3 linked regions of the Xenopus tropicalis genome follow. The protein of the gene in region 1 interacts with the protein of each later gene in a pairwise test. Links are inferred from orthologs where the notes say so. Each region holds a gene or a part of one and is shown in the gene's direction. Other genes may lie near its edges. The genes, in order: prkab2, dao and csnk2b.

Region 1 (6,262 bases):
AGTGTGAAAGGAAACTGGGGTACCTGGAGGAAATAACACAAGCATGGAAAGAACATACAGATCCCATGTGATAGAGCCCTTCATTCATTCCAGTAAAGGAGTGAGAATGAGTGTTACAGTTACCCATTGCTTATTTTTCTTTTTTATTTCTTAAACTCCAGGCACTCTGAGGCTGATATATATCATACTGAGGTCATTGTCTCTCCTTGCATTGACTTGCATTGCACATTTCTAGACACAGAAGCTGTGTAAAGATAAACCATGCTTTCTTTGCATAGCTTAAATAAGATATATGATTCAAAATTAAAACAATAGCCTGAGCCATATTAACCCTATTTATTAGTTGTACTTTTGGCTCTCTTACATATTTCCCCTTCATATAAAATACACTTTACACCACAACTTGTTTGCTTTGCAGTGGCCTGAGCCAAATATGGGTAACACAGCAAGTGATCGCTTATCTGGAGATCGGCATGGCAAGTCCCACCGTGCAGATGGAGCAACTGGGGGACACTCTACTAAGGAGCATGAGGAAAACAAAATCATGGTTGGAAGCACAGACGACCCAAATATCTTTAGTACTCAAGAATCTAAGGTATTCCAATGAACTGAAAAGCTATATGAGACTGGAGTGGGAATGTGATCTTTTAATGCCATAGGGGTCATTTACTATGACCCGAATGCTAGTGTTAGAAGGGATGCAAAAATACATTCCATAGTGCTTCTTCTAAAGAGTTTATTATATGTGGACCTCCTGCTGTTGAACTACATTTCTGAGAAATCCCTTGACACAAAAGGTAGATAGCAACAATAGCTGGAGACCCACAAGTTATTGTTTCCCGAGCTATAAATCTATTTCTAATTTACATTTTGGCAATGCAGCACCCTGGTGACTCAACGTGGCCCCAGGAATCAGAGGATCCTGGAAAATCAGCTCAGCAAGGTCGTCCCACTGTAATCCGTTGGACAGAAGGTGGCAAAGAAGTCTTCATATCTGGGTCATTTAACAACTGGACTGCCAAAATTCCACTGATTAAAAGGTAGTACAACTTACATAAAAATAGGCATATATTGGTTTTGTATTTTTTAGTTTACATGATTGTCTTACCTGTAACTCTCTAGCTGGGCAGAAGTCATACTTTTTAAACATATCAGGGAAGGCTTAATATTTTTTTCCCTAACAACAGGTAGCTTTTTTATTTGCACAGTGGCACCTGTTTAAATGAAAGCAGCCCAGGGGCATGTATACCTATAGAAATATTTATTAACTTAAAAGCTATATGAGACTGGAGTGGGAATGTGATCTTTTAATACTATAGTGCGCTCTTTCATCTACAAATATTTGTTTGAATCTTGCTAAGAAAATAAGTGACTTGTAGAGCTATAATCAATAAATACTCATTTTAAGAGACAAATCTTAGTTGTATAAGACTGTAGCTTAGCACTTTTGTGTATATTTGTTTATAATACAGAAGAGCCATGAATATACTATACATTATAAAGTAAATAATGTACCCCTATTGTAAAATATAAGGATATTAAAAGTCACCAAGGAGTTCCATGACTACATAAAAGCACAAGGCCCAAGGACACATGCTTTTATTCAGGTCATGGAACTCCATCACTAAGCACTGATTTTAACTGATGACATCACTAAGCACCATTTCTAAGTATATAATTTACAGGAAATTTGTGGCTCTTCTGTATTATATCCTTATAAATGGTGCTTATTGATGTTGTCAGTTATAATCAGTGCTTAGTAATGTAATGTCTGTCACAGAAGTTGCTGAAACTTGTGTAATTTCTTAAATATAGTAACCCCTGTTGTAAAATATAAGAATATTAATAGTCACTGAGTTCCACGACTTGTATAAAAGCACTTGGTTTTTTATTCACTACATGTTATTCATTCTGTCGGTTTAAACTTCTCATTTTTAAATTTGTCTTGTAGCCACAATGACTTTGTTGCCATTTTGGACCTTCCAGAGGGAGAGCATCAGTACAAGTTTTTTGTGGATGGCCAATGGGTACATGACCCTTCTGAGGTAAATCGGGGGAGAGCTGTAGCTTGTTTAGAAAGGCTATCCATTCACACTAAATCTCAAAATTCCACACATGAGAAGCTTACAGGGGAGAATGACTGTTTATTTGGCTGTGTTATGATGAGTTTGTGTGTTATGATTCCCAGTGTCATTGCACATAACTGTATCTGCTTAAAGGAGAAGGAAAGGCTAAGTCACTTGGGGGTGCCAAAATGTTAGGCACCCCCAAGTGACTTAGATCGCTTACCTTGTACCCTGGGCTGGTGCCCCTGTTAGGAGAAAAAAGCACCAGCCCAGGGTACCTGCAGGAAGCGCTTCCTTCTTCCTTTTTCTTCTGCCAGCGAAATCCGTGGGCCGGCGCATGCGCAGTAGAGTGAAAAGCCGACTTTCTTGTTTCAGTTCGGCTTTTCACTCTACTGCGCATGCGCACGCAAGCGAATAGGAAGTGGAAGCGCTCGCTGCTACCTCGGGCTGGTGCTGTTCTCTCCGTACAGGGGCACCAGCCCGGGGTAAAAGGTAAGCGATCTAAGTCACTTGGGGGTGCCTAACATTTCAGCACCCCCAAGTGACTTAGCCTTTCCTTCTCCTTTAAAGCGATACTGACACGAAAAAACTACTTTTTAAAATATGAATCTACATAAAAAGTTACCTATAGGTCATGTTGATCATTTTTCACTGATAGGGCTGCTTTTGTGAGTAATTGTTACTTGAAGTTCCTAAACCCGACTGTTTTGCTAACCTGACTGTCCCTTCTCAGCCTGTCAGTTATAGCTTCTAATGCTAACAGACTCCTGCTGCACAAATATTGCCGCCCCCTCATAGAGAAACATGGGGGATTAGATAGGTAATGTAAAAGCCTCAGGAAATATGTTTATGGCAAAATTATAAAGCTCATGCAAAGACAATGTTATGAAAGATGTAAAAAAGTTTTAATTTCTGGTGTCAGTATCACTTTAATACAGAACTGATCACAACTAGTATATATTTGCACATTTTAACCTTGGCCTTGTTGTGGTAAAATTAAATCATGCTTGTGCCCTCTTGTTGGATACTTTCTGTATGACAGAAAGTAGACAACAAGATATGTTTCAAATTTATGCATTATACACATCCATTTACACAACTTGAACAGAGCTAGTGCTTGTAAGTGCTAAATCATACTCTTAGGCTTTCCTAATATATGGAGAATGTTCTGACTGTTAAAGTGATAGGATTATACCAGTGGCTTCACTGCAAGTCTCATTCTCTCTTCAGCCTGTGGTTACCAGCCAGCTTGGTACAATCAACAACTTGATCCATGTTAAGAAGTCGGATTTTGAAGTATTTGATGCTTTAAAATTAGATTCAATGGAGAGTTCTGACACATCAGCTAGAGGTAGGAACTGGCATTCATTTGTTAGTTTGTAATACAACCTGTTATTCTACATTGGTAATCTGGTGCTTTCAATTGCATTGTTGCTAGTTACCCAACTGAAGCAATCAGCATGGCAGCCTATATACAATGAAGGAATGTTCTGCAAGCAATAAACTATGTGGTCACTTACTATCTAGTAAATACAGCCATGAACACTCACAGAAACGCTGCACTGAGTTCTCTGTCAAAAGATTTCTTGTGTCTGTTTTCCTCTGCTAGAGACATGCAGCTCTCTCCTCTCTCCCCTGTCCTGCTCCCCCCTCCCTCAAGAATGCTAAGAACTCCCTCCCCCACCATAGGAATGTGGATCTGAGCCAATCAGCAGGAAGCTTCCTCATAGTCTTACAAACTGAGCATGTACACCGGTCTGGGTCTGGGTGCAGGAGTGAGGCATTATGGGAACTTTTTTTTACACAGCTCAGCGTTTTTTCTTCCTGTTTGGCTTCTGATCGGGAGAAATATGGGGAGACTTAATGGCACTATTGAGAGAGCTGAAGGTATGCCTGCAGCTTGAGATTAACTCTTTATTAGCCTTTCCTTCTATGATTATCAAGGGGTGTAATATTTTAGGGAGAAATTATTTAATTTCACTCAGTCCATTTAGGAAGAAATTATTCCATTTCACACAGAATTCTAAATATTTTTGTATTAAGATTTAGTGCCTGTATTTGCTGTCAGTGGATCTGAAGATAAATGTATTACATATAATGATCTGATGCAGACTTGTTGCCCTTTTCACCTATTATTTTTCATTTTGTTTCTTGATAGACTTATCAAGTTCCCCTCCTGGACTTTATGGCCAAGAACTATATGCTTACAAGCCAGAGGAACGCTATAAATCACCTCCTATCCTTCCTCCCCATCTTCTCCAAGTTATACTTAACAAAGACACCAACATCTCTGTGAGTTTAAAGCATTATATATTTGAAGAAGCTCTTTATGCTTTTGTTAATGTTCTTTTACCTGGAGAAATTAAGATCCAAATATGTATTTTTTCTATTGCCCTTAATCCAGGAGCAGGCAAGCCAAGTTTTAGCAGGTATTTTTTAATAAAGCATTCAAAATAATAAATGGTGTGCAGGATAGGGCAATTATTGGGGCAGGGTAGAATAGATTTTTTACTTAAAAATGTTTAGTGTTACTTTTCCTTTAATGGGGCTACATATAAAAGTCTCTAGAAATGCTTTATAGTGTTCATAATGGCCAGGCAGCATGCAGCTTCGCAACATTTTCCAGACCAACCACTGATCCGCTCAGCTCTGAGGAACTTACGGAAGCAGATCCGATTCTCTCAGCCTGGCAGAAAAGCGCAGGGCTGAGAGAAGCTTCATCTGACCTCGCCCTTAAGCTGATAAATTTGAAAAAGTAGATTTGAAAGAATCAATACACCTATATTGCCCCCACAGTATAAAGAGAGAAATGTGTAGAACAGTTTTTGTGGGCACATCTTAATACAAAATCCATGTTTAATGCTGGCATTTCCCATAGGTCAGTATGTGGTTACACAACACTTCAACCCTTCTTTTATCTCTTTACTTAAAATTCCTAACATTCTTCTTAGTATTAGCAGAGGACAATCATTTGCTCCTACTGGTAACACATTTTGTGTTTTAAGTGTACAGACATGACTTGCAACACATGAAAAGTTTGAATATGAAGTTATGTTAAAACCTTCTCTAACACATGTATGTTTATTTTAGTGTGATCCTGCCCTCCTTCCAGAACCCAATCACGTCATGCTAAACCATCTGTATGCTTTGTCAATAAAGGTAAAGTTTTCTGTTAATAAGGGGTTAAAGGAAATATTTCAGACCCTAGTAATGCAGAAAAGTATAAAGGACTACCATACAGCTTAGCTGCCAGCATCATGAATATCGTTAACAATCTAATATTGTGAGATTAGACCTTACCACAGTAAAATTCACCCACTCTCTGTTCATTCCATTGGGATTTTTAGAGACGTATTTATCAATAGGTGAAAGTTAGAATGTACCATTTGATAAATACTCCTCTAAAAATACCACATGAAGAAACAGAGTGGAGTATTTTACAGTGGTGAGCTCTAATTTTACACTTTCATAAATATGCCCCTTCATGTGATTTACCTGCTCCTTTATTAAAAAAAACTGGGACAGTAACTCACAAGAAATAGGATTTCATGCATGCTGGTTGCATAAACGAAAGAGTGTGGGTCAAAGTAGTGCTAAAATATGAATAAAGCCTGCTCTGGAAAACCTGTGTGGTTAAGCCAAATCCCGGCACAGTCTCTTCCAGGACACAGTCCCACACTCCACTCCTGCTGGACACTATAATGGAAGCAGTCCCCGCGGTTGCAGGGGGCCCAGATTGCAGCGGTCGCAGGGGGTCTGCTTCCCTCCCCAGCCGCTCTTTTACCTATTCAACATAAGTGGCTGGGAAGTAGTGGACACGGGCGGGTGGAAGATTTTTTTGCCTTACAAGCCAGCGCATGAATTCTCAGAATTGCTTGAAAGTGCAAATTCATAGAATTACTACTTAGTTAAATGCAATGGGGGATGTGTTAACTGTACAAGAATAATGCAGTATACATTTTTATATTTCAGTTTATAGTTTTTATCTTAAACTAATCTTAAATCTTGTAACTGATCAATAATATTTGATAGTCATCACAAGCTAAGCTGACTGAATAGTTTCCCCTTATAAATGTTGGGGACCCACAACGCACTTAATGTACCAACCTTCTGTGATGTATCGATTTTTGTTTTTCAGGATGGAGTAATGGTTCTTAGTGCGACTCATCGCTACAAGAAGAAGTATGTCACCACTT
Region 2 (5,373 bases), on another chromosome or scaffold:
TTCCAGCTGGGATAGCCACATAAGTGTTTGTTTGCTTCTGGTTAAATGTTTTTTAAATAGAATTTACCTATGTGTTATGTATACTGCAGCACATTCTTAATTAAACAGCCCCCCTAAGTTACCAATTATGTAAGTTTTTAGTGACTTTATAGGCTTGCCAGTAAATTGATTTCCCTACAAACCTGGCATTACCTATACACCTAGTTATAGTATACAGGCTCAGTCTAGAAAAACAGGGTGTATTTGGTTAATGAATGTGCCACACTCCCACTTCAGACACCCTGCAGCAACCTCATAATCAGCAGGAAACAACACTCTGTATCAATATCCATATATTCATGCAGAGTGTTGTTTTCTGCTGATTATGGGGTTGCTGCAGGGTATCTGCAGAAGTATTACCGGTGGGAGGGGGCCAAAACCATGGCATCCATAGTTTATGAATGCAGTGGCTTTATATTATGCTTCATATATTCCAAATGACCTTGAACCCATCCATGATAGTGGAAAGTATCATTTCAAATGATAGCATGAAACAAGAAATGAGCATTCCATTCAGCCTATATTACTCCATTACTACCTTGTGCTGCAACCTAGTAGAAAATGCAGATATCCTATTTTTACATTTTCTGTTTTTCTTTGTGTATTCTCTATAAAGATGTATTTGCATGTATTATTTTTTATATTTCCCTATACTGTTTATCATTTTCTAGGTGCATGCACCTTGGATGAAACACTTTATTTTAACCCATGATCTGAAGACTGGAGTTTATACCACACCATATATCATACCAGGGTATGTTTTTTTTTCAAAAATATGAACATTTAATGCGAACATTTTTTTATTTTCTTTTTAATAACAATACAGATAATTTTGTGCTGTCCCAGCCTGCACCAGATAGTATAACAAAAACTGCGGAACACAGAAGGAAAGTATTTGGAAGCAGAACTTTTACAAGTTTTTCCATTATTTAGCATTGCTTATAGATACATGTTTTTCTGAATAGAATTCATCCCTGCATTTACCTGTGATACTGAGTGGCAGGAAGAGATACAGTGGTAGGACAGGAGTTGCTGACAGCTCCAGAAACAGTTAGGGAAGTGGAGTATGCAGTGTCGGACTGGCCCACCAGGATACCAGGTAAACTCCCGGTGGGCCCAGATGTCAGTGGGCCCTTTTGCTTCTATCTATTTAGCCTATTTCATGGTCATTCCCTATTTCTGTATGGAAACAAGGAGGCTTGATAGATGGAAGAATAGAGTATAGTATTTAGAGAAAAGAGACTAGGAGAATAAAGAGTTTGAGGGAGGAGAGGAGGAGTTAAAGTGTTGAGAGTGGGCCCATGGTCCAGGGTTTTCTGGTGGGCCCCTGCCATCTCAGTCTGACACTGGGAGTAGGAATTCTTGTGCACTAGGGATATAGACAACATATATACATATCTATATGCACCACATAAGGTGAATTGTTTCTTATACCCTTTCAGGGAGTTCCAAAACTCTCTATTTAATTGTTGGCTATGGGTAAATGCACTTATGCAATTTAGCTGGCCATACACATACTTATAAATTCCAATGTTGGGTGGACAGACATGACTAAAGTTATTTAAATGTCCTAAACATTTTTTACACAATTTATTTAGTTATGATTTATTTGCTGCCAAACCCCTTTCCCTGGCTGGAAACTTACTTTAAATTCTAGATGCATAGACAGACAGCAGATTACAAACCTGATGCATTATCTGTTGTTAGTGCAGGCCCAGTGTTGACTGGGCCGTATTTTGGTTGTAGCTTGACAGTTTAATATTTGGCCTGCAGCGACTAGATCTATATAAGCAGCATTTTTACTGTCTTGTATAATTACTTTTTAAAATGTTTTTATATTAATACAATGCAGAGAATAGAAAAGACACATATATTTATATTTATATTTTGTATATCCCCTTTAAGGAATTTTTTTTGCAAACTTTTATGTTTGCAGGTCAGATTCTGTCACGTTGGGAGGAATTTATCAGCTGGGAAATTGGAGCGAGGAAAACAATTCTGAGGATTACAAGTGGATTTGGGATAAATGTACTGAGTTGGTGCCCAGTCTTAAGGTATGGGTCATTTCTCAATGTAGAGTCAGTTTTCCCTGGATGACTGTGGTGGTGGCATAAAGACACTTCTGGGAAAACCTTCTTGCACCTTTCACCTAAGCTTTATTGCATTTCTCCTCATTCACCCTAGTGATAACCCTGTAATCACTGTGTTCTGTAAGGTGCACAAGGCAAATAGGATAAAATGTTGCAGAACTGAAACATTATGATTTTACCACCGTAGCCATGCTTTTTCTGGAATTCCACAATGGAGCTTGTGTGATGTTAGTAAGCCACCTTTTTTCCCATAATACAAGCCTTTGGGTCAAGGGCGGGCTGTGATGTCATTTGGGGGTGGGGAAGGGTGAATATGACTGGTAAATGGGTAGACCGGGCTGGGAAAATGGGCTTTGATGTGGGCCTGTAATTATAAAGGCTCATCAACAGTGGAGAAGGTGAGGAAAGGGGGCATTTATTACATGCTAGGCTGGTTAAATACCATCCAGGTAGCTGATATGGATGCATGCTTAAGTGCATTAGTGCATTTTTTTTATTTTGTGTCCTGAGGCAAGACTCTTGGGGGCAGTAAAGAGAAACTCCTTGCTGAAGGAAACCAGAAAGCAGGAATGTAATAATACAGGAAGCATGCCCTGCTGAACAGTGGCAAGTAAGCAGTTTCAAGATATGTCCATAAAAATGTCTTGTTTCAAAAGGGCCATGACATTATATTGTTGTAAGGCCCAGTAACTTCTAATAATGTCTACCTGGAAGAAGTGTTAGAAGTAGTAGTGACCCATTGGTGTAAGTTGGATCATACAATGAATGACACACAGATTCCAAGACTTACTTTAATCATAAATAACTTGTATTGTTGGACAGAATGCAAAGATTGTGCATACATGGACTGGGCTGAGGCCAGCACGCAGCAAAGTGAGACTGGAGAGGGAAGCCTTTGTTTCTGGATCTAACAAGAGCCAGGTGAGTACTTACCCCATTGTCCTGCAATTGGCACTATAAGGGCTATAAAACACAGAGATACTTATCACGAGTACTAAATGACAGAAAATACCCTGCCATAGACAACACTGAGAACTGTCTCTGCTAAAACACACAGGGCCGGGGCAGGAGACCGGTGGGATGGCATATCGGGGAGATTAGTCGGCCGCAACAAGGGAGAACTAGCTGGCTACAAGTAGCTCTGTGTTTCATTGCCCTTTAGCCTTTTCCTAATCAGTCTGTTGAAGTATATTGCTATTGTTTGTTTCATTTATTTTAACCATTGGTGTGCAATTGTTCACCTTTTCAGTACCGCATATAATTCCATCAGAGTTATTGTAAATAGTGCTTTCATCACTGCTGCCTTCTGATGGTGAACAGCAGTAGTCAAAACTGTTTGTCTGTCACTGCCCCTGAATAAAAAGCTGTATAATGAATTTACATTGAGTGGTAAAAGGAGGAAATCAGCATCAAAACAGTGCTCTGTGACAAGCATGCTCTGTAAGGTTACGATTCTACATGTATTGTTACTATTTACTATTTATCTTTCTGTTCAGGCCCTTTACCATTCATCTTTCAGTCTTTCATTCACGCCACTGCCTGGTTGCTAGAATAAATTTTACTCTAGCAGCCTCCTGAAATTCCAAGCTGCAGGGTTTCTGAATAATTAATTTAAAAAGCATAAAAAATGAAGATCAACAAAAAGAGTAAAAGCTGAAAAAGACTAGTACACAACTACCGAATGTATAAGTTCCTTTTTTATTGTATAAAAATATGATGTTTAACTAAAATAATACAAGCAACAAATGTGCAGATATGAATAGAAAGTACATGGAAATGAGAAGAAAACCAATGTACAAAATGTATCTTTCTATGATGTTTTTGTCTAAATAAAGCTTGAATAGAAAAAAAAAAAATGAAGATCAATAACAGTTTGATAACTGATTATTACTGTCAACATCATACTAACGTTAATTTAAAATTCTACCCCCCCCCGGAAATACTGATCTGCCTGCATTCAGCAGCACTGTATTCATGACGGGATGCACTTAGGCATACCCAGTCCTGTAACTTTAGATGCGCAAGTTAAGAAGTGACGGTGGATGTAAGCTGCAAAGGAGGCCTTTACTTAAGGACAGGGCTGGAGTGAGGTGCAGGTTGCAGCCTCCCACTGACAGAAGTGCTCACTGCATGACTACTAAAGGGAGAGCTCTTTTGGCCCTTAGTGCTATTGTACTTCTTCTCGGGGACATACAAAATGACGCCTAATGTCTCTTTGAATATTCTGTGACCTAAAGGAGGTACCCATAAAAAAACAATATCAAAACAGTGACTTGTTTCGTTGGTATTATTACTATGCTAAACGCTGTGTTTTATAAAATGTACCACATTGTTTACTTGGAAATATAACTAAAAGTATGTTATAAATGTAAGCTAAGCTAATATTTGTATTTTATTCTCTTTACTACAGATAATTCACAACTATGGCCATGGTGGATACGGTCTTACAATTCATTGGGGGTGTGCCATGGAGGCAGCAAAGATCTTTGGGCAGATCCTTGCAGAAAGGAACCTTAAAGAGACTCCTAAGTCTTCCCTTTGATTTTGACTGCCACATACAGAAATCATCCAGGAAGTGAAACTGCCACAAAACAAGTTTTGAATTTAGAATGAAGACTATGATTTCTCTGATTTCTTGTATGCTATCTTGGTACAGTATCCAGTTTGGCTAACAATTTTACCAATCAATACTTCAACATGTATAGTTTCATATTTGCACCAATTCACCCAAAAACAGTTTGATCTTCTGACTACACTTACTGAACAGATCTGACTAGTAGTTTTGCATTAAGATTAGTCCATCTTGAAGAAGACCTTTCCACTAACCTTTGACCTTCTCACTAGCCCACTTCAAATTTGCATCAATATGCAGAAGTTTATTCTTCTAACTATAATGCCCATGTAATAAGACACTAAGGGGCTGATTTACTAACCCACGAATTTGAATCCGAATTGGAAAAATTCCGATTGGAAAACGAACATTTTGCGACTTTTTCGTATTTTTTGAGATTTTTTCGGCGCCTTTACGACTTTTCGGAAATTATCGCGACTTTTTCGTTACCAATACGATTTGCGCGAAAAAACGCGAGTTTTTCGTAGCCATTCCGAAAGTTGCGATTTTTTCTTAGCGTTAAAACTTGCGCGAAAAGTTGCGCTTTTTTCGTAGCGTTAAAACTTAAAAGGGGCAACGTTTTGCGCAAGTTTTAACGCTACGAAAAAATCGCAACTTTCGGAATGGCTACGA
Region 3 (6,323 bases), on another chromosome or scaffold:
TGCGTGCAGGTCCTAAAATTGCAACATTTTGCTATTAGAGTAATTTGTGGGTCTGGGTCGGGTGCGGGTTGAGTTTTTCCTGACATCACATCACTAGTAGGCACTGTGCAAAGTACAAAAAATGCCTGATTACGGCCCTTTTTTGCATACTGCCTTCTGTTAAATGACCCCATCTTATTCATGCAGATAAAAGCTGTCTCTTGCTTGTTTGTTCTTTATGGATATATTGGGCCCCCATTTAATGTGTTATTTCATGGTACTGCAAGATATTTATTTGGATACAACAAAATATTTCATGGGGAATCCCCTTATCCAGGTCTGGAAATCTTTTTTGTTTAACAAATAATTGGTCCCCCACCCACAATGGCCTGCAATTTGTATGATGATTAGGCATGACTAAATGCAACAAAACATGTAACTAAAGGTTTTCAAAGAGGCTTAGCTTCAATCTGCCCTATATGTAAGTGAGTTAATGTGAGTTTAGAGCATAATACATAAAAACTTAATCACTTTCTATTTATTCCTATGGGATTTTTAGAGTCCCATAGGAATACAACAAGAGAGTTGTAACTTTCGCCCATTGATAAATACGCTTCTAAAAATCCCATAGCAATGAATAGAAAGTAGGTGAGTTTTTATATATTAATGTATTAAACTCACATTTTCATAAATCTGCCCCTTCTAATCTAAAATAACAGGCATGGCCCGTATGACCAATCACATCACACAACTTCTTAGGGCCAGATTCATTAAAGTATGAATCTGAATCACAAAATTTCATAGTTACGATCCGAAAGTTCCAAAATTTTCGTATTGAAACGATCGTTTGCGAATGGCTAAATTTTCAGATTCGAACGATTGTAAATGGTGGGAAAACCTTTCTGACTTTAAACCTTTAGTGCATGATTTTGGAAGACTCTCATAGGACTCAATGGCACTCAGCAGCTCCAACCTGGCCCAAGAAAAGTCACGATAACGAAGCTTGAATGAATCCAAAACTTTTGTACTTGTTGCGACAAATACGATTTTGTCGCACAAATTGTTGTGCAAATTGTCGCAAAGTACAAAAAAGTTGTAAACTTTAGAAAAAATATGTATTTTTCGTATTTGGACCTGTCATAATAAATGTGCCCCATAGTATCAAAAAACTATGCAGCAGTGTATAGGGGCTACTGTGTATGGGGGACACTGTGTGGGGGGGGATACTGTGTATGGGGGGGCTACTCTGTATGGGGGGGGCACCTGTGTATGGGGGGGCTACTGTGTATGGGGGACACTGTGTGGGGGACACTGTGGGAGGGTCTACTCTGTATGGGGGGCATCTGTGTATGGGGGGGCTACTGTGTATGGGGGGCTACTGTGTATGGGGGCACTGTGTATGGGGGGGGCAAAACTGGTACATAGTTATAACTCACTTATAACTGACTGCCTTCTCTCTATATTTGTATTTTATATGTAGGAGTTGCTATATTGTTTTTCTTTAGGTAGTACAGTATGAGGGTATAGCACATTTGCGTCTGATCCCGCCATTTCATATATATATAAAAGGAGTATTTTTTTTAAAAATGGGGAGTGGCAATTGGGGCGTGGCCACACAAAGTGGGCGTGGTCAAAAAATCTTTTTGTCCCTCTTTTCATTTTTTTTTAATGTTGGGAGGTATGGACAGGGCGTCTCTTATGACATATAAGGGGTTTCTGCCCAGTCAATATCTGTATGACACAGGGTCAGGGAATGATTTGGCACCAGGGTTGCCATCTGCCTGCTATTTTACCAGCCTGGCCGGTTCCCTGATGCTGATGTTAATAGGAAAAAAGGTTAAAAAAAAACAGGGAAGCTTGTATTTTTCTCCAAAAAGGTGGCAACCCTATTTGTCAGGTTTAAAAATCGCATCCAGCCAAAGTTGCCTGGAGTGTTGATTCAGTCATTTCCTGATGGTAACTGTACAAGCACATAATGATCATCACAAACCAATAAGCTATGATTCAATCATCCAGACGTGGCTCACTGTGCCCTATGAGTTTGCTTAAACATCCAGCAATGCCATGTACACTAGCTTTAAGCAGGTACTACTGCAAACTTCACTGCCACTTTGTGAAAATCCAGGATGGTTCTTTTAATGACTACACTACTCCATAACGTAACTAAAAAAGCCTCGCATGCGCCTACATCTACAAAAATATACAAAATTACATTAGTCACGTATTAGTTATCCACGTCTCCTCTCACAAACGAATCGCATCCGGTGTAGAGTTTTATCTATATGACTACATTTCCCGCGATTCAATCAGAAAGAATTACTTCCGGTCTTTTTGCTTCTGGTTTCTAATGCGCTTGCGCACTAAGGGGACCGGGCCTAGTGCGCTGCGGTGAAATTTTGCCGGTTCAAAGCCTCCAAATATACGGCAAGCAGCGGTCCCTTGGAGGTGAGTGTTTGGGGTAAAGCCCGCCTTGTGTATTCCGGTTCTTTTCTCCTAATCTCCCATTGTATCTTGGCTGTGTCCTATGTTTTAACGCGTTTGTTTGGACCGGAATTGTCGAGCTATAGACCCGGGCCTTACATCACCCCGCCTGGCTTCCCCCTAACCCTTTCGGGCCTATCTATACGTGAGGCAGAGCGGAACACAACTTCCGTTGTTTCGTTCCAGATAGACTATGAGACTGCTGTGTATTTTCTTGTACTTTGCTATAAGCAACATTGCGGATTTCCCCGCATCATTTGATGTTGTTGGGGGCGCCTTATTCCTCTTGTCGCAGTAGTTGTTGAAGCCGCAGTGTGCGCCCATTCTGAAGGCTTATGGCTTCGGGTTCCTGGGCGAGGGCGCAGGCGGCTGCTCCGGGGAGCCCATATTGCTGCAGTCTATTCCCAGCTTAGTACAGGGGATCCGGCGCCAGACGTGCCCAGCACAGCCAAAATGTGGCAGTAATGGTGGTAAAAAGGGAGATCTGAGATGTTTTCCTCTGCTGATCTTTCCTAGAAATGCTAGTGTTCGTGTTTTGGGGTGGGGGTATTCGTGCTTTGTTGGGGGAATGTTATAACCTGGCCATCTCAGTAACTTAGTCTCCTGCTGCACTGTGGGCTTATTTTGATTGCTGACTCTTTATTTAAAAAATTCTGTGCTTTGTTTGTTCCCTATTCCCTCCAGTAGACCTTACAGTGCCCACATCTTGTCTCCCTAATTATATGGAACCATAGCTATTGTCCCTTGTCTGTCTGTACCCCACTTGTACCTTTCATATTACATCTTATTTCTGTCATCTGATTTTACAGCACCCCATTTGTTCCCTTTTTTATATTTTATTTTGCCTCGACCTTAGCGTAATATCCATAGCTTAATTCACGCGCTCCAGTTTTTTTTTTTGCTGCCTCTCATTAACATTGCTGTGTTAGTTTTGTTTAATTTTCTTTAATTCGTTTATACATATTTTGACCCAATACTATGTTTTTTATTGAGTTACTCTCATTTTCCTTGTATAAAAGCTTTTCTTTTTGTTCCTCAGGCTAGAAAATGAGCAGCTCAGAGGAGGTGTCCTGGATTAGCTGGTTTTGTGGTTTAAGAGGCAATGAATTTTTCTGTGAGGTGAGTCTTACTTAAAGATCTTTTCTTTGAGAGAAATAATAACTGTTAATCACAAAATCACTGACAGAAACCTACCAGGTTAGTGAAATAAATAGCTGTAAAAAACACTCCACTTCATCATATAGAAAAAAAATACTACCTCCTACTGCTGTTTTATTCTTGCTGATGTTCTTTCAGCCTCTCTTATCTCACACCCCTCCTGAAAAGAAAATTACTCCTCTTTCTGAAAAATGTATCTCGGCACTGCTTTGTATAGTCAAAAATCATAATGCTTGTGTGTGTTGTTTAGACCAAATTAAATACATTTGCAATATAAACCCATTAAAAATTAACTATCATTTTTTAAATAGAAGCCTTTGTATTTTGCATCTTTTGCTATTCCCCTAAAATGAGCTACAGTTAGCTTTGCCGTCTGATTTATATAGAACAACATTTGTTATAGTGCTTTCCTATCTTAGGGCTATATATAAACACTCGGTTAAGATTTTGACTTTATTTCCCCTTTTAATAGTGCTTTTTATTTAATCAGCTGTAAGGATTTATTCCTACCCGCTTGCCTTTCAGCTCAGTCAAGATTTGACTGTTCCACCTTTTCATTTCCAGCAGAATTACCTCTCCATTTGCAGTTACTGCAGGTAGAACACTTACATTGTATAATTGTACAAAAATAATTAAGAAGCCATTTTTGTGCAATTACATTGTGTTTTATCTTTGGCATTTAATATTGTCTGCAATGGAAAGGAATTTTTCACCATTTTGTCGCCACAACAAAATGCAGGTGACAAAATGCCAGTCGTTGCATTAAAGGACATGTAAACCCTTTATTTTCCTACCATAAAGGTTGGACACATCTTCCTCACACCAACTGAACCATATGTACTGCATATATCGCCTTTGTTCACATATTTTTCTAAAACAAATAGGAGCTTTTACCCATCAGTTTCCCTCTGACACATAAGCATATTTCTCTAGCAGTGTGCACAGCTAGAGCAGTGTTTTTATGAAAACCAGTGATGACCTCTCTTCATTGGCTGCTAGACTGGAGGGTGTGTTTGGTAATTTGAATTAAGAGCTAAGCATGCCCAGTAGCCAACAGCCAAAGTCATTTCCGAAGGAAGAGTAGGTTAGAGGAGGAGAAGGAATCCCAAGTTATCAAGGGGCTGCTGCAGCCTTACAATAGCCTTACAATACCTTTGAACAACCAGAATCACAGGTATTTACATGTCCTTTGAGGGGCAGCCTATTAAATATTACATCTGGTTTTCTAAAGATGTTGCTTTGCTGACATACTTTCTTTTTTAGGTGGATGAAGACTATATCCAGGATAAGTTTAACTTGACAGGACTCAATGAGCAGGTCCCTCACTATAGACAGGCACTGGACATGATACTGGACCTTGAACCTGGTGAGAATATCTCCCATTGTGACTTCAGCTAACTTAATATGCATGCCATCATAGGCATAGTAAACATTATCTTTTTATTAGAACTGGTTATATCCAGCTGTACTTTACAGTTGCCTTCACCAGTCAGAAATGGCGAGCCTTTGTCAAGTCTCTATTGCAGGGACAGAGCTGTGTTTTCTGTATAGTACATTCTTTTTATCTTTATCATTTGTTTACGTGAATTTTGTGCAGTTTTTCTTTTTAGAGTATCAGCTATATTATACTATACCAACAATTTTTAGATTTGCATCTTGTAAAATCTTCCCAACCACCGTGTTTATCTCCTGCTCTTTTTATAAGTGTCCATATTGAAGAATTGTTTCTAAGTTTACATTGAATATTGACATGCCCAGCTGTCCTTGCTTATTTATATGTGCAAACAATGGTCCCTTTTACACCAAATCTGTTTTTATTTCTCTGCTTTTCTCATGCAGATGAGGAATTGGAAGATAATCCCAATCAAAGTGACCTCATTGAACAAGCCGCAGAGATGTTATATGGACTGATCCATGCCCGTTACATACTGACTAACCGTGGCATTGCCCAGATGGTGAGAGTGTTGTTGATAATGATATTATTTTAGGCAGCTGTATTTTTAGTTTTTAATGTTAATGATAAAAATACTGCTGACTGGCTATTTATAGTGTTTCCAAATTCACTTTGGTATATGAAATGTTTAGAAGCATGCAGGCTCAAGGGGCACAGTTTTTACATGCTTATTTACCAGCAAGTTAATATCCACAGCAGTGCTTTCTGTAGTTACATTTATAATTAGCCCTATTTCCACAACGATTAGATGCAGAAATAATACTGAATTAGCAATTTTATATGTTTGTAATTAAGTATTCTGTTACTGATTTTTCCATGCATTAGCAATTTTATATGTTTGTAATTAAGTATTCTGTTACTGATTTTTCCATGCTTGTGGATTTAGAGTATAGGGAGAAGGAATTTCTCTAAGGGATGATGTGGGGGGGGGGCACAACCTGCAGTCTGTAGCACCATGGGGGGGTCATTATTTCAGATACCCATTCAAACCAATGAGTAGAGCTGCAGCTTTTTTGACTTTGATAGGGGTCACATGAGTTAATCAATTATTTGCTGGCTTACTCTGTATATTTTGGGTCACTCCCACTTGTTAGTAGCTTGTTCTCCCTAGAGTGATTGGGATTAGGGTATATGCTATTATGAACTGGTGCTGTCCTTCATGGTGTAATGTTAGAATGTTAGCTTCATTTCTTTGAGTATTTTATGCATTGACGACAAGGCACTCCATAAAGAGCAAATACCCTATCCGATA

The links.
Region 2: the proteins of prkab2 (region 1) and dao interact in binary tests that used the Homo sapiens proteins (3 or more experiments, as listed by UniProt). The link is inferred for Xenopus tropicalis from reciprocal best matches to the Homo sapiens genes PRKAB2 and DAO.
Region 3: the proteins of prkab2 (region 1) and csnk2b interact in a two-hybrid assay, tested with the Homo sapiens proteins (2 studies listed by BioGRID and IntAct). The link is inferred for Xenopus tropicalis from reciprocal best matches to the Homo sapiens genes PRKAB2 and CSNK2B.

The regions. Positions count from the first base shown.
Region 1 is NC_030680.2:118,095,648-118,101,909, forward strand, and holds part of prkab2 (5'-AMP-activated protein kinase subunit beta-2), read left to right. Parts: intron 1-418; 5' UTR 419-433; coding exon 434-595; intron 596-882; coding exon 883-1,040; intron 1,041-1,951; coding exon 1,952-2,045; intron 2,046-3,296; coding exon 3,297-3,417; intron 3,418-4,224; coding exon 4,225-4,358; intron 4,359-5,156; coding exon 5,157-5,225; intron 5,226-6,204; coding exon 6,205-6,262. UniProt on the Homo sapiens protein: Non-catalytic subunit of AMP-activated protein kinase (AMPK), an energy sensor protein kinase that plays a key role in regulating cellular energy metabolism.
Region 2 is NC_030677.2:146,533,483-146,538,855, forward strand, and holds part of dao (D-amino-acid oxidase), read left to right. Parts: intron 1-710; coding exon 711-793; intron 794-1,975; coding exon 1,976-2,093; intron 2,094-2,951; coding exon 2,952-3,050; intron 3,051-4,539; coding exon 4,540-4,671; 3' UTR 4,672-5,373. UniProt on the Homo sapiens protein: Catalyzes the oxidative deamination of D-amino acids with broad substrate specificity. Required to catabolize D-amino acids synthesized endogenously, of gastrointestinal bacterial origin or obtained from the diet, and to use these as nutrients.
Region 3 is NC_030684.2:74,723,655-74,729,977, forward strand, and holds the start of csnk2b (casein kinase II subunit beta), read left to right. Parts: upstream 1-2,323; 5' UTR 2,324-2,424; intron 2,425-3,499; 5' UTR 3,500-3,507; coding exon 3,508-3,579; intron 3,580-4,881; coding exon 4,882-4,984; intron 4,985-5,457; coding exon 5,458-5,573; intron 5,574-6,323. UniProt on the Homo sapiens protein: Regulatory subunit of casein kinase II/CK2.